Linked DNA regions of Nothobranchius furzeri. The protein of the gene in region 2 binds, or shares a complex with, the protein of the main gene of each other region. Links are inferred from orthologs where the notes say so. Each region holds a gene or a part of one and is shown on either strand. Other genes may lie near its edges.

What was found. The genes of interacting proteins can lie anywhere in the genome.
Region 1: smx5 (region 2) and ppih share a complex: the UniProt entries of both Homo sapiens proteins name them as parts of the U4/U6-U5 tri-snRNP complex. The link is inferred for Nothobranchius furzeri from reciprocal best matches to the Homo sapiens genes LSM2 and PPIH.

The regions. Positions count from the first base shown.
Region 1 is NC_091755.1:32,545,054-32,549,227, forward strand, and holds the start of ppih (peptidyl-prolyl cis-trans isomerase H), read right to left. Parts: upstream 2,806-4,174; 5' UTR 2,689-2,805; coding exon 2,623-2,688; intron 1-2,622. Other genes in the region: zgc:154075 (putative oxidoreductase YteT), read left to right, coding at 3,935-3,948. UniProt on the Homo sapiens protein: PPIase that catalyzes the cis-trans isomerization of proline imidic peptide bonds in oligopeptides and may therefore assist protein folding. Participates in pre-mRNA splicing.
Region 2 is NC_091756.1:60,995,491-60,999,574, reverse strand, and holds the start of smx5 (smx5), read right to left. Parts: upstream 2,804-4,084; 5' UTR 2,727-2,803; coding exon 2,724-2,726; intron 2,535-2,723; coding exon 2,467-2,534; intron 2,139-2,466; coding exon 2,108-2,138; intron 2,022-2,107; coding exon 1,962-2,021; intron 1-1,961. UniProt on the Homo sapiens protein: Plays a role in pre-mRNA splicing as component of the U4/U6-U5 tri-snRNP complex that is involved in spliceosome assembly, and as component of the precatalytic spliceosome (spliceosome B complex).

The sequences.
Region 1 (4,174 bases), on a different chromosome or scaffold from region 2:
GCTGTTTCAGGTTTTGTGTGGAAAAATACATATAGGACTACAAACGTTCGTCCCACTAAATTGATATAATTGACCCAGACAGAGAAGAGGGGGAGATCAGTTTAGCAAAGAATCCTTCTTCCAGGACCAAAGAAGGAGCATTAAACGAAACGTGAAAACCACCATAAATCTGGCTATCTGATAAGTAGCAGCTACGCTGGGGAGAAAAGATTTTGTCGGGACGTCATATATGCGACTTCTGATTTGTAGTCATTTTATTTACGAATTTTTACAAGCAAACAAAGCTGAAATTACATGACATAATTGTGATTCAGGGCGTAAGGCAAAGCGGGTTATTTTTTCTTTGCTCCAGGGACCCATGAGCTGACTGGAAGGGGAGGAGACTTGGGTTCTTATTATCAAGTTTTACATCCTGCTGTTCCAGCGGGTCGCACTGGCTCATGAGCTCCTGTGGTTTCACAGACTTTGTTTAGATCATCCACTCAACGTCATTAGTTTCGCAGCAAAAGAATTATTCAAACTACGTCCACACGAATGAACTGTTCGGTCCTTTATTGTCAACGACGTAATTAACAGTGTCCATCTCTTTTTTTCCATTTGGGGCTCTCATTTTTCTACTTTTACCTGAAGCAGGAGGCTACAGATACACAAACATGAGCGGTTAGCAGCACATCCGCCTGGCTGCTACTGAGCTGTGGGTCTCTACTCTTCATACCGAAGTTCTATCTTCCCACTCTCACATGTCCATCGAGGAAAAGTTGTTTTGAAATATTTATTGCCATCGTTTCATTGCCCAGCCCTACCTTCAGTCCTTCTGGACAAATCCTTATAGCAGAAATCCACTATGATTAACAATGAATAATGAGAAGTGTTCTAACAGATTGAAGGTGAAACATCTACATATGTTTGAGATTCTGCTGCAAGTTAAATTTTGTTTGGCCAAGTAGGGTGGAGTCACCTGGTCTGAACGAGGCTGAAGGTAAGGCTGCTACAGAACATATAACAAATTGTTTCTAATTATGGCTTTCTGCTCTGGGTTCAGATCAGTTACAGCCATTTGTGTAAGTTTCCCAGTGACAAGCAGCTACATGTTGTAGCTTTAGAAGTGAAACATCCTCTTCAAATTAAACTAAATCAGATGCCGTTTCCTGATTAGGTTTGTACTGAAGAGCATTTGATGACTTCAGCTGCAGTGAAGCAAAGAGAGGGGAAATGTCCACATGAAGTCATTGTAATAAAAAACTTTACCGATTCCATAATCATATCCTGCAACACGACTTCAACAGAGTTAAAGCTACATTTCAAACCCAATCATATTCAGAACCATTTTTTCCCTGTATGTTTACAGGGGAGCTGGTGTCCATCTCCAGCAGTCACCGAGCGAAAGGCAGGGGTTCTCACTCCATGCAGAAATACACAACCAGTCTCACACAGAAGCAAGTTATGGGCCATTCCCATCTGTACCGGGTCGGCCCGGGCCGGGTAGGGTAGGTTGTTTACATATCTGGGTGGCCTGGTATTTTTCCGGGCCAACCAAGGCTCATTCTCAGCCCTCTTCTCGAGGGGGTTTGCTTCAGGCCGACCAGGGCCAACACACCCACTGCTGACAGCAAATTCACACCTTCCATTAGAGCAAGCCTCTGATTGGTGGGTAGAATCAGCCCACATGGGCTTAAGGCAAGGATGTGTGGAATCAACCGGGCCAGGCTGGGGCCGACCGGGGCTACCCGGCCCGGGCCGACCTGGTACAAATGGGAATGGCCCACTAGAGCCCCCAATGAACCGAACATGCATGGTTTTGGTCCATCAAAGGAAACAGGAGTGCCCAGGAAAAGCCGACGCAGAAATAGCGAGAACATGCTCTACACATAAAGGCCACAGCTGGAATTCAAACCAGCAGCCTTCTTTCTGAAAGTCAACAGGACAACCTACTGCATCGCCGCCCTAATGCTACGTTTAACAGAGAAAAAATAGTGAAAACATGTCTTTGCCCTGAAATTCTGCAAAATTTTGCACACATTTTTAACGGTTTTGTGATTTTTCATTATTGAAAATAACTCACATTAGTTTGAAATTATTAATACGATTATTTCAAACTTTGCTTTATAATCAGTGGTCAGGGGTACTTTGTAAGTATATGAGAAGTATCCATTTGCATGCAGTGTCTGCTATGTTGAATGAACATGTTCAGCATCGACACAGATCTGCTGTTTTGTTAATGTCCTGGTGCATGCTTTAAAAAGCAGGTGAGCCAACCAAGTTCTTACTGGTGGCACTTGCACACGCAGAGCCACTTTCTCAAACCTATAAAATCTTCTTGGTGTTGATTGTCGAATGTTGAAATGGAAGATAAAAAGAACCTCAATCTCGTTTTTATTCAAGTTAAACGTTTTCTCTGCGCCTTTCAAAGCACATAAATATCCACTACTTAAACAAAACGTTAAACGTAGCACTGATTTACTATTATAAGAAACAAATAAACTAAACATAATACCTAAAATTCTGCTTACTCTCCCATAAACTTAATCAAAAGGCGACTTTGCGTTGAGATGAGTAACTGAGCGCGGTGACGTTGACAGCACGTTTTCGGTAAAATAAAAAGAACTTTTGGGTTCCACTGACCTGCCCTCCGATGGTAATGTCAAAGAACACGATGGGGTTGTTTGGGTTTGTCGCTTGAACAGACATCGATATGTTTTGACCGCTTTTGCACAGATTTCAAATTACAAATCGGCAAAAAAAATTACATACTAGCCATTTGAAAATAGAGAGCATGCGCAGAAGAAACTTATGGTGGCTCGCGAGAGACAAGGTACGAATTGCAACTAGGGACAAAAACCTAGACATGCATTGTATATATTTCTTCTTTAGACCCTGGCTAATGTTGGTGTAAATCTTTTGTTTCCCATAGCTATGTTATTACTAGGATTTCACATAACTTAAATCCAACCTTTTCCTGATGTTTAGCAGTTCAAAAATGCAAATTTAAAATGTTTCAAATTTTATTTAAAGGTCAGCTGGAAATAAATAACTAAATATTAAAATACAGTCTCAGTGAATAGTAAAAACAGAATTAAGTTGAGCAAAATAAAATGCAATGTACGTCTTGACTCCACTGTCCTCTTTAGAAGAAGAGAGCACAGGAGAACCCAGGAGAACACGAATGAACACTCTAGAATGATTTTACCAGAGCGCCACCTTGTGCTGCATATTTTTTCACTAAATAAAAATAGTCAAATATTGAAAACACGACTTGGGAAATTCGCAAGAAATAGAAATAGGTCAATTTTGGATGTGTTGGACAAGTAAAAAAACCCAGTATTTTCCAACATAAAAACACTTGAAATATCTTATTATACACTGAAAGATGAGTAATGTATAGTTCCTAGTGGCTAAATTATGCTCAGAAAATTATAATTTTCTCCAACTCATTATAATAGAGATTTACTAATATAAATGCTTCAAACATGTTTTGTATGATGTATGGCAAAACTTCAAGTTCAGTATTTGAATCTAGATCTATAAATGTATAAATTACTTATCTTTACTTCATAGACTTGAAAACTATTTATTTTTGCAGGGCAGGGTATGCCATCAGAGTAATATTTTAAATAGATTTTCAAAATAACATCTCCGACTTGTTCTTTTGATTAATTATTTCATATTTCTTTTCATGGTTCGTTTTCAAAATGTCAAAAAATGTTAACAGGTTAATATAAAGATTTGTGTGCGCGCGCGTGCTCGTGTATTTTTTATTTATTTTTCAAAACAAATCCATGACTAGATGGCAAAAAGTCGTAATTTACGAGGTACAATGAATGTGGCACAGAACCTTGTGTACCGTCTGTAGGAGGAGTCGTGTGTGCTTCACTATCCGAAAAAGCCACACAAAAGTAGACCAACACGGAGGAAAGACAGCTGTTCTAATACTCGTATGGGACAAAGCAGGTAACAGTACAACTGGTGTTATAAAATGAATTATGTTATTTACCCGAATTGCCGAAACATCTGTTAGGATTTACCCTTTTCCGTGTTTATTTCGCCAAGACTCTGGTCTGCTCCTTTTTGTTTTCCCGGTACACATAATTCATGAGCTATAAAGAAGTTGTGTGTTTCCAGATAGATTAAATCCATGATTTCTTCTCATATACACACACATTTAATCTGTTTATTT
Region 2 (4,084 bases):
ACACAATAACAGGCAAGGAGAAAGACAGCTGCAGGTATCCACAAGGTCTGTTCTGTTCCGTTTACATTGGCTACGGGGGTTTCAAAGGAAATGATGTACGTCTATCTGAACGTGACTTACTTAGAACGTTTTGGGATGTTTGACACCGCCTCTGTGTTCGGCTTCCTGTCCGGCCGGTTTGATGGTTTTGGAAGGGTAGCACATAAACAAATAGCGTAACGATGGCGTACACTTTTGCCACTTACACACTAGCCGCCGGTAGAAAGGAACCTATTCGCTATAACGGTGGCTAATTTCAGCGAGGTAAGTTTAGCGTCCATTTCATGACGCTTTCACGTTCGGTGGAAAGCTCATTCAGTCTAACCCTTGTGGTAAAGGTGAGTCCTCGGAACGTCCGAGTAAACGTATTAACTAAAAGCATCTTTGCTGCAGAGAGTGTTAATAAAACACAACCGTTTGTGGGCTACAAATCCACAGGTTTGTGAGTTAATCTAGACTATTTAAAAATCACTTTTCCTTGAGTTTTTATGACTTCAGGTAAAAATAAAACTAGTTTGTCAAGATTTGATACATTTTTAAGGAGATACCCATGAGCAAGCCAAGTTGTGAGTAAGTATGGTTGAAATAAATTTCTAGTTAAAAACCCATTTACTTTCAGTTGTAGGGCTGAGATTTTTTAAATGTGGATATAATTTCAAACAAGAAACCTGATGACTCAATATCTTTACATCAATATAAATATAAAAACAGTGAATTTCTAGCATTAGCAGGTGCAGCTATTGCTATCCACTAGCTTGTTCTGTCTCTATGCGATCATTACATGTATTCTCACGTGTCTGCTCGATCAGGAAACCTCTAGGTCAATTTTCTGCCCTAAACTTTGCATTTGGATTAGTGGTTTTTAATTATTTGGGGACATTTGTTCGTGTTTTAGTGAGCCTTTTCACTACGGATGTGTATTGGTGAAATTGTGGCGATACGATACGTATCACGATACAGGGAAGACGATACGATATATCACGATATATTGCGATACATTCAGCCAGACGATATCAGCGATTTTTTAGACTGAATTTATTGTAGAAAATTTCAATAAACAGTCCAAACTGATACTTAACATGTTAAACATGAGGTATCTGAACCATAATAGAGGGATTTATATTTCAGTGGTGGAAACAAAACCCAATGCACACTGCTGCTAGCTAGCGGTCAGTGTTTGAATTGCACCAAAAGAAAAGAAAATACACAAATGTTTGCATGTAAACTATTCCAAAAAGTTCAACACATGGCTTTTGGATATCAATATAATATTGCAGGAAAAAACATCACGATATATTGCCATATCGATATTGTCTTACATCGCTACTTTTCACCGTGGCTGCTGACGGAGATTTATTTATCCTGCTGGTGCTGAGAGACGGGTCAAACCAGCGGCATAAATATCTAAACCTACATGTGTGTTAGCATACAGCTGTACAAGTGTTTCTACAGCTCAAACTGATAGAGAATGGCACTTAGGTTGATGTTTGACAAGAATCTGATTAAATTGTGCATTTAATCTGCTGATGAATTTATGATTACACTTTCTGTAGACAGCTTGAAGGGAGTTAACTTGCAAATATTTACAGAAGAAAAAATATGGAGGTATAATATTGTAAAATTGGAATTCTGCAAAAGGACACTGACAAATAAGTTTTCATCCAGCCCTATTAAGTTGTATTTTTATTTTCTGAGGACTAGAGGTAAGGCTTTAGTACTCGACCTGAAAACAAAACAAAAATCTGTCGCATCTTTGGTTTAAGTGAATAATCACACCTTTTTACCAATTAGAGGGCTGAGTTTGTGTTTGTTAACCCTGCTGTGAATGTGGAAAACACTCGTAGTGAGATTAGCCTCAGATTTCTACAGACATCTGAAGCAACGTGACCTTAGGACCGATGTGTCTCAAGTATGCTACTTACCATGTGTGGATATTTCTCTGGATCCGTCACACTGATGTCTGTCAACTTTATGTTCAGGTACTAAAAACCAAAAAGAGTAGGAATGTAAATGTCAAAAAACTGCAGAAGTTTGTCTGAAAGAGTTTCAAAAAGTGTATTTTCAATACCTGGTCAACAGAATGAAGCGTTCCGCAGATGCTGAAAACAGATGTGTGGATAAATATTCAAGAAAACAAACATTTGGACACTTTTGAATAGGCTACATGGCTCGTTTAGCTCGGTTGCCTTAATTTCCGAGTCAGACTCGTGTAGAAACGTCGCAGTACTAATAAGCTACAAGTCCATTGGAATATACAAAGAAATAGCTCAAGCTTTAGCAGAAGTTCATTCAAAGCTTCGCGTTTAGAGACCACTTGTTTCCAACGTGGTGCTACAGTGGGTCGAATTGCTAGCGTTCTTTCCTGCAAATGAACAACAGCTTCAACGATTTATCACAGCAGTGGAGGCCAAGCCGTAAAACACTAACCTCAGATCGTTCTTGAGCTCCACCACTACGTCCTTCCCAACCAGAGACTTGAAAAACGAGTAGAAAAGCTGCGGAGCACAACGACATGCTAACGTTAGCGTGTAGCTGCACGCTACACGTCGAGCACGACAGTTTATGAACAAAGAGAGAATGGAAACACTAACAGTTACACAAAGACTAAGGTAACGACTTATTTAACTGTCATGTGTTTGGTGTCATGCTAAATACATTTTGAATATTGAACGAGGTTAGCTCACCATTTTTGCGGTAGCTTTGTTCAGTAGTCGCGTCCGCTTTTGATGACGTATCAGGGAGCGCTGCAAATACAGACAACTACCACCAGGGGGAGCCAGAGGTCTTCAACATATTCAGCTTGAATCGTATCCATTTCTTTGACATGTTTTGCTCATAATTAATCAACATTGTGTTTTTTTACACACTTAAGTGTGATTACAGCATCTAATTTGCCTCTGAAAAATTAAATCTGCCTTAATATCACTTTGCGTAACAAACCCTAATAGTCCACGTCCCTACACACACACACACACACACACACACACACACAGAGAGAGAGAGAGAGAGAGAGAGAGAGATATGTTAAAATAAAGAAAATCTCACTCTGAGACTTTTAAAGAAGTCGGCAGCCCTGGTAAATAGGATAAACCTATGTGTGCCTTACCTACGTATGAAATATATGTAAATGGCCCTATTTTGCCCAGCTGTGTGCAGCAGGTATGTTTTTCTTCTAGAATAATGAAAACTGGTGAAAAATAGGTCTAAATCCTAATCAGCGTTGATTTAAATTGTGATTAGATGACACACATTTAAACAGATGATGACAGATGTGCTCAAACTTGTAAACAGCCTTAACCCATTAAAGCAAGGACATAAGATAGTCTAATAATTAGGTGATAAGATAAACCCAGCAGAGAAAAGAAGTCAGTCTAACAGTGGGATAAAATGCAACAAGATTTATGACAAGCTCACATTTGGCGTTTGTCTGCTTCTTTTATTAAAATAAATAAATGAATAAAAAACGGAAACTGGTATGGTGCAAAACAGGACAGAATGGTTGGTATAGAGATGAGTTCCCTTGTTTTATCTATTTGTTTCTACTTCAATGTTTTACCCCCTTTGCACTATTTTAATTGCTTTTATTTTCTATTTATTCATTGTGATTTATGTTTCTTATGTACTGTGTACAGCACCTTGGGCTCCCTGACAAGGTCGCGGAAGGCACTTTATAAACAAAGCTTTGAGTTGAATTGAATTCACATTTTCTTCAAAAAACTCAAGGTCCGGCTGTAAACATAAAAACTCTGCAGCAAGGGAAGACGGTTTCCTCTTATATGAAAAAGCCAGTCGTAGGAGAATTGATCCCTGGTGGGTACCACATAATTCAGTCGGTGCCTTAAAAAGTACCACATCTGGAATCCATCCCTACTCCTTATACTGGTCACCCTGGTGTGGGAAGGCTTCCAGTCTCAAACCAGTCATCCATGCTGATTGCCTTGGTCCCTCAGGTTCAAGCAGGTATAGTCCCATCAGTGTCTCTGCTCTCCAGTCCCATCTGTCGGTGGTCTCTGATGAACTGGTTTTGGCCCAGACTGTGTGCAGA